Xenopus tropicalis: one gene and its partner. The protein of the gene in region 2 purifies or fractionates together with the protein of the main gene of each other region. This does not show direct contact. Links are inferred from orthologs where the notes say so. Each region holds a gene or a part of one and is shown on either strand. Other genes may lie near its edges.

Region 1 (4,226 bases), on a different chromosome or scaffold from region 2:
AAATCACCCCCTTAGAAAAATAATTACCAGGAAGGAATGAGAAACCAAGTGGGAAGACTCCTATAGGTGCTCATGTACTAGCCCAGCATCCCCATTAAGGAAAGTTGATCACTGACAGAAGACAGATCAGCTACTGACTGACAAGTGTGCACTAGGCTTGTGCTTTTAAAACTGGGCTTACTGATAATATGCTATTTAACTGGCAGGTAGGGCCTTACATAGAAGTGGGGTTTACTAATAATGTGCTATTGGGCCTTATCTTGTGCTTGCCCTACTATTACTGTCTAACTAGCCCCTGCTTATTTTAGTTTATGAAATATCATGGTGAGCATTTAAATAGTAGCTAATTATATAAGTATGGGAACCAATTAGTCCTTGACATGTTACTGAACTATTGGCCCTAATCTAAACAGAGTATTCAAAAACATCTAAATGGCGTCAGCTTGCCCAGAGCATGATCTTGCACAATGACCAGAATACTGCCATAGATTGTAATACTTTGTTGGTGGCAGCATTTGGTTGGTCTTTTCATCAACATTAGCGTATTCTCTGACAAACAAAGGATGTATAGGGACTGTGCCTCTCCTATGGTGAATAATTGCAGTCACGTCAGCCAGCCATCGTGCCTCCAGCAGGACAAGCAAATGAAACACAACAGCCATTCACATTACTAACACATACGCCTCTAACCCCACATGTGTGCGACAGAGTGCAGGCAGCATCTTCAGCACCTTTGTATCAATAAAGCACCAACAAATCATTGAAAAAGTATATTTATAATTTGCAGTTGATAAAAAGGCCAAGAGTGGGTCAGTGAGAAAGATTTCCAACAAGCTGACAGGAGAGCTGCACCTCCGGCCAATAAGTTATCTGAGTGAATGTGCATCAGAAATCACTATATACATACTACAGGGCTGGCTCCTAACAAAACAGGAATAAAGGATTAGGCTCGCTTGTCATTTCATTCACTTTGTGCAACATTTAATGGAAGCAGCAAACAATTAGCATTCTGGGAAAAGAAAGGGCGCAAAAGGTAAGGAGTGATGTCTCATCAGCTTGTTGTGCATCAGACTGCTTCAATAAACGTACGGACTGCAGCAGGATAACTAGTATTGTTTCCATTCCATATCATCTGGGGGATTTACGTCTACTTTCTTCTTGCCCACATCTGTCCAGTTGGTGCTCAGCACGGTTCCTCCTGACTCCATCTGTAAAAGAAAAGGTGACTGTCAATGCCAAATCTAACTTGTCCTTTCACACTATGAGGTGTGAGGTATAAACTCATAAAAGCCTTAATGCCCCCCCTCCTGCTGAAGCGCTAAGCCATTCCTCTGGTCTCGTCAGAGGCATGTAACACTGCAGGAGGGCAATGGGTGTAATAAGGAAGGACCCTAAGACATAACGGCAGTTGAACATTGCAAAAAATCAATGTTTAAACAACAAAACAGAGAAAAGCATAAAATAGAGATTTTACATGTTGTAAGGAAAAGGAAGATAAAACATGGAGCTATAGGGACTGTTTAACTAGTCAGATAAATGGAAATATCTGAGACCATCTGGCAAGATGCAGCCTCTCTCTTTTGAGAGATTATTAGCTTTATTACTGATCTCACTGACTACTATGGGGTTAGTGTGTCTGAATACGGACTCAGGACATGAGTAGAGTTTAAGAATTCCCTAAGCGAGTGTGAGTTTAATGTACGACATTTTGAAGGCGCCCCCCTAGCTGCTCCCAGTGCCAGAACTACATCTAACTGGAAACAACTCCTCTACCTGATAGAAAGTTGTTTTCCATTGAATAAATATACAGTCTTGAGGAGCATGATGGGAAAAATGAAGCCCTCTTTAATGGTTATTAGTCACATTGGATTTTCATTAAACAGAGCTAGCAGGATTTCATTGCACAGAAAGATTATGTTAATTTTCTTTTCTGCATCAGTCATTTTTCAATTCAGAAGCTGCTAAAATTGCAGTCCTGGGAAAACCTGTATTTCAAGTACGAAATTCATTTCCTTCAGTTTTTATGAGCCACACACATCATTTTGCCTTCCTTCCTCTTATGAAACCGATAGGTACCATAGGATTTGTCAGTACAGAATGAAATCAAGATGATAAAACACAGAAGGGAGAACATAAATAAATGTAACACATAAATTGTATTTTATCTCAACCTTTATAAAATCAAAATTGGTTCTAATTATGTTCAATGCTATTCTATTATAGGAGAAACAGCAAAAGATTGGGAACATAGAGGGAATTATATATATATATATATTTATATATATATACACACACACACACACACACAACCATTACACACGGGACAAAATGAATAGCAAGAGTGAAGTATTATTTGCAAATACATTTATGTTCTCTGATGGGAGAAAAGAATATGACAACAAAGCTTTTGTACAGCCCAAGTGACAATCTGTGCCTCATTAGATGCCTCCAGTAGCCCCGAATCTTGTGCCATATTCATTTTTAGGGTTTATTTTTCCTTTAAATGATTTCAAGCTGCCATAAGGGCCATGGCACACCCCTTCGGCTGAACTCTACTGGCCAGGGCAAAATTACATGGAAGTGTCATTCCTTAGGAGCTAATATCTAACAGAAGCAGCTGCTAGTATGTAACAGGTTTATTCAATCTACTCATAAAGGCAGGGCTAAACAGGTATATAAGATCTTGATGAGCAGGTTGAGTGTGAGGGAACAGTTCCCAAATGCTGCAAATATTGTGAGTGGCACAATATAAATAACATGTGAGCAGCTTACAGGGTCCCACAGTAATGGGGGTAATGGCCAGTAGGCAATGACAGGGAGCAGCTTAATCTTTGGGCTCTTGAATACCCACTGCCAGGGTTGATAGTGGGCTCCTGGGGGTGGGGGATTGTACAGGACAATGGGAAGGCATTACTATGACTGCTAGTAACTAAGGAGGTAGCAAAGGATTTATGCTTAATTTGATCCAAAGAGTACAGGGCTCGTTTACAACTGTGAGTGCAGTTTTCAAAGTGCAATTGCCATGGTTTTTCTCCCCACAGCACAGGTTTTTTGCCCCAGAATTCCAATGCCAATGTAGTCCCCAAGGGTGCAATTGCGCCAGATTCACCAAAATGAACGCAACTATGTGTGCATTTTGTCACAGAGTAGATGCAATCACAAGGAAGTCTGCCTGCTGCCATTCCTGTGTTCCACATGTGAGTGACACTTGCGCTCGATTTTTTGTGTGTAAATTAAATGTGCCTATTGACGCTGGGCACAAAGGGAACCCTGGAGCTACATTACAGTCAGGAGTTGATGGTAGGTTCGAGGTCCTGCCTGCATCATTAGGCGCAGTTCAGTAGCTCTCCAGTTTGGCGTTTCAGCAGCTATTTTGGTTGCTAGGGTCCAAGTTACCTTAGCAACCAGGGGGTGGTTTGGATGAATAAAAGAGGGACTGAATAGAAAAGAAAGTTACAAGTAACAATAACCATAAAACTGGAGCCTCACAGAGCAATAGTTTTTTCAGTGACCCCCATTTAAAAACTGCAAAGAGTTGAAAGATGGTGACAAATAATTCAAAAACTATAACAAATAATGAAGACCAATTGAAAGGTCACTTAGAATTGGCCATTCTATACCAAAATAAAAGTTAAAATAAAGGTGAACCACTACTTTAACTACAGCCCAAATGTACACACTGAAAATAATGGAGTTTTAATTTCACTAATTACACTCAATTGTTCTTACTTCCCTTGAGTATAATATACAGTTTGTATTGTATACATAAAGATACATAAAGACTCTGCAATTCTGGGGGAAGAGCAAGAATTTCCAGGGGTAAAAAAAATCTTATACCACATCTTTCTCTTTGCCAATTGGTCAGTTGTTGTAAAGAAGCAGCCTGTGTGGGATGCCCCAATAGTAGGTGCAAATTCTTACATACCCAGGTTCCTCATGGTGTCACTGCATTTAAATAGATAATCCACAGTTATGAACATGAGCCCAATAATAATCTTTAAAATGTCTAAAATAGAGCAGCGGTGACAAACATAAATATATATATATCTCTTCTTCTCTTCCCACATGAGCCTTCATGTAATCCAGATACATGCATTTACTGTACATTTGTTGGTTCTCCCTCTGAAAGGAGCAATACACCATATCTGAGAAAGGATATCATTTTCCTATTAATGTGTACTGAAAACCCCCAAAGTCATTTATTCTGCACAGGGAGCCTTATTTCT
Region 2 (3,826 bases):
GAAATTTGCCTCAAGACTTGTAGTTTACAGAATTTTATGTTGAGCATGCCAAATACTTAGGTAATCCTAAACATATTTGGGAATTCAGATGAACAGCATTCATAGTTGAGATGTTTTACCTCAATATTAGAAACCCCTGACAATATACTATTGTCTTTTTTTCAACTATCTATCTTTGGGAAAGAAAATCATTCAACACACAGTTTTTACATCGACACGTACATGAAGTTTGATAATGTATGGTAATATAAATGAATACATCCCTGATGAGCACACTCACCTGTGCTGGTGGAGACTGCAGAGGATTGTTATCAAGCATGATGGTCTGGAGGTGCCTTAAGTTTCGATAACACACCGGAATACAAGTAACTTTATTACAGGAAAAATCCAAGCGGACTAGTGGCAGTTCTGCAAGTTCTAAACAGAATGAAATAAAATTTGAGTATTTAGTAATACAAAACACTGGCCTTTGTTTCCTTACAGAGCACAGCTCAAACATTCATACATTACATTCAGCCTCTTTTGGGAACAATTAAATAAAAATCAAAAGGTGAATGAGGTATATACATTAACAAACTATTATTATTAAGGTGCCAGTAGAGATAGAGAAAATAACCCTAACTAGTTTAACTAACCTACGGTAACTAAGCAGCAAAAGAAAATTCCCGACACCCCTGCCATTGGGTGGGATGCTGCACTACTGATGGTACGGGCCTACGAGAAAATGATTTTCTGGTAAAAAAAAATCTTCCTTTCTCTGTACAGCCCTGTCAGTGCAGAACAACTGGGGATGTACCCAAGCCATCAAAAAAATGGGGGGGAACTACTAACTCATAACACTAACTCAGAATTAGATGCCTACGACTGCCGTAGTACCCAGCTTTCTACCAAAAACTGTATCTGCTGATGCCAAGACATCCAATTTGTAAATCTTTGAAAAGGTGTGAGGTGAACTCCATTGGGTTGCTTTGCAGATCATGTCCAGGGGTGTCTGGTTGTGTAATGTCCAAGATGTTGCTCAGTTCTCTGTGGAATGGGCTTTCAAGTGTAAAGGCGTCTCTCTGTCCACTGCGATATAAGCCTGGGGGGGGGAAGGGGGCAAGGGGCGTGGCATCAGAGGAGCCGCCTTAAGGGGCAAGAAACACCCCTGTACGAGACTCTGGTAGCGAAGCACAAGGCCACTAACAGAACTACCTTGCAAGTGATGAACTTGATGTGCACCAAAGCCATTGGTTTAAAGTGTGGTTTTTGAATGCAGAGAGGACAAAATTGAGGTCCCACGGGGGTAAAGGGTTCTTTGTGGGGTGAGTGAAGCGTCTGGAAGTACTGCCAAACCTTGGGCATTAGAGCCCATTGCGATTGAAATGATACGGAGAGTGCAGATGCACTAGTTGCACCCTGGGAAGGGCAGTTTATTTACACCTTTCCCCTTGATGGTCCTTCATCCTGGTCATGAAGCGAGGCAGTCATGTGTTGAAGTGAGTTGCCATTGTGCAGAAGCATTTTCCTCTAAAGTAGATGATTTACTTTCTTCAGAAGCTATGAAGGAGTGGCTTAGTGATTTAGGTTTGTGAAGCTTAGGTGCTCTTTATATAGATGGCAGTTGCTGTGCCTGAGCTTATACTGTCTGGTGTAAAGTTGTTTGTATAGTAGTTTGGAACCAGGATAGGAATTCAAAGAAACCTTGTAGATCTTGTGGCTGTACTGCAGGGTTTTGTATGGTCTCTTTAACATCTGGGGCTGTATCACCTACAGTATGAGAAAAAATCTCCCGAGGTGCATGTACTTGTGCCTGAGTTGTAACTTGGCAAGGGCTTGCCAAAGAATCTGAGTTAGGGGAAGGAGACCTTGAGCGCTCCTTGCGTTTGCTTTTTTCTGACCTTGGCTTTTAACTTACAAGGTTTGTCAGTCAGGTCAATATCTTCAGTGAGGGAGAGTATTTCCTCATCAGCAGATGCCAGAGTGGAGGTTAATGATGCTGTAAATAAGCACCAGAGAATTTGTACTGCAACTCTTGTCTTTGCTCCTGCGTAACGCAAAGACGTTGTGTCCCGGTGCCAGAAATTTGTGCAGTGACGTCATCTTGAGTACCAAGATGGCTGCTGCATACTGACTACTCCGCTTGAGAGTACAGTTCGCTTCAGTGGGAGTAGCAAGATGGCAGCCAAATTTAGCATAACAGTGTGGTATAGAGCTCACCCGATTCCAGCAAAGTTGGGAGCATGCAAGGGGTTTGGGGCTCTACCCCATGGGAAGCACACCATTAAGCAATTGTCCTTGATAGAATGTTCGTAAGGGGTCAATCATAATGAATCATGGGGAGCACACTGTTGCAGTGGCTCAACCAACAGGGGGGAACACTTCATAGCAGAACTCAGAGTATTGTAAGGGCTCAACCAAGTCAGGGGATACCTCTTCAGGAGGAAGCACTCTGGGTTCAAGAATTGTTAGTATATGGGGGTGCACTGTGGACTAAACCTGATTACATACTTCCTGCAATCATCCTTAGCTCTACCTGAGAGCAGAATTTTAAATCCAGTGAATAAGACTGAATAATATGTAGAAGAAGAATTATTGCTGCCAGGACAAACTAAACAAAACTGTCGATAGGTGGAGACAAAGGAAGAGGATGAGAAGGAAGAGTCCATCCTGCAGAGAGGAGCAACCTAATCCCAGTTGTCCTGCACTGACAGTATGGGCCTATGAGAAAAGGATTTTCTGGTAAGAAAATCTTGATTTTTTTGTGCTATATGGGCTTGCCATGAAAGGTAGAGCTTTACGAAGAAAAAAAGTTAACACTATGGGTAAAGCATGTTGCTATGCTATTGCAAAAGCAAAGAAAGTCTCATGCACCATTACAAACCATAAAAAAGGCTGTCTTGGCACTATGACACATATGTATATTCAATATTTGTGGGAATTACATATTCATAATTTCAAATTTTTGATGTTTTTGGCTCGGATACTCCTGTATATGAACCCATATTTCATCTCTACAATGCTGCATGAGATGAAATAAACTATGGTTTTTTTAATACACAGCAAGAAAAATCTGAAGAAAAATAAATTGCTTCAAAACGTAGACAAAAAAGTGTTTTAGTACTATAAAACCCAAATAGAAATGATAAAATTCATATATATATATTGAAACTTGATCTTTGACATGCTTTGAAACAGAATACGTCCATTTTGCTTTAAAAATGTATTCCATTAAGTAGAATAAACTTGCACTATAATAGAAAATACTTTTTAAAACTCTAGCCAAGGCACACTTTCTAAGACACAACGGTATACATACACACAAATAAAAAGATCCACTACTTTGGCTTGGTCAGAAAAAGGCAGATATTAAGAAGTACCCAGAAGATGGGCCATACTGGGTTGATCCACAAGAACTTGGGAACCAGTGAAACACTGTTAGCCGAGTATTAGATGGAAAAAAATCATGCCTTCGTTAAAGCTCCTTGTATTGAAGCAAAACACATATCAGGAATTAGTGGAAGAGTATATATGCTGAGGACTTCCCATACCAGTCAGTTGAACTGAAGAAGCTGCTCGGATGAGTAGTGAAACGTCTTCAATGATTACTTAACAAGTCCAGTTGCTTTAAATTTATTTATACTAGATATACCATGACCTGGATGAATGAAAATCTTCATAGACACATATCAGGAATCTATTTTTTATTAGGGAACATACTTTAGCACTATGGGATCACTATCCATTTGGGATCTATCCATAGTAAATTGACCCTTATAGGCAGCCATGCGCATGAGGCAATTGTTTATTATGTGCAAGCATGTGTTCCTTTCTGGTATAGGTGGCT

The links.
Region 1: the proteins of lrch3 (region 2) and sugt1 purify together in Homo sapiens (co-immunoprecipitation; 3 studies listed by BioGRID and IntAct, counting the BioPlex papers as one, with this or other methods). This does not show direct contact. The link is inferred for Xenopus tropicalis from reciprocal best matches to the Homo sapiens genes LRCH3 and SUGT1.

What each region holds. Positions count from the first base shown.
Region 1 is NC_030678.2:132,190,552-132,194,777, forward strand, and holds the end of sugt1 (protein SGT1 homolog), read right to left. Parts: intron 1,209-4,226; coding exon 1,107-1,208; 3' UTR 758-1,106; downstream 1-757. UniProt on the Homo sapiens protein: May play a role in ubiquitination and subsequent proteasomal degradation of target proteins.
Region 2 is NC_030681.2:100,457,825-100,461,650, reverse strand, and holds part of lrch3 (DISP complex protein LRCH3), read right to left. Parts: intron 418-3,826; coding exon 281-417; intron 1-280. UniProt on the Homo sapiens protein: As part of the DISP complex, may regulate the association of septins with actin and thereby regulate the actin cytoskeleton.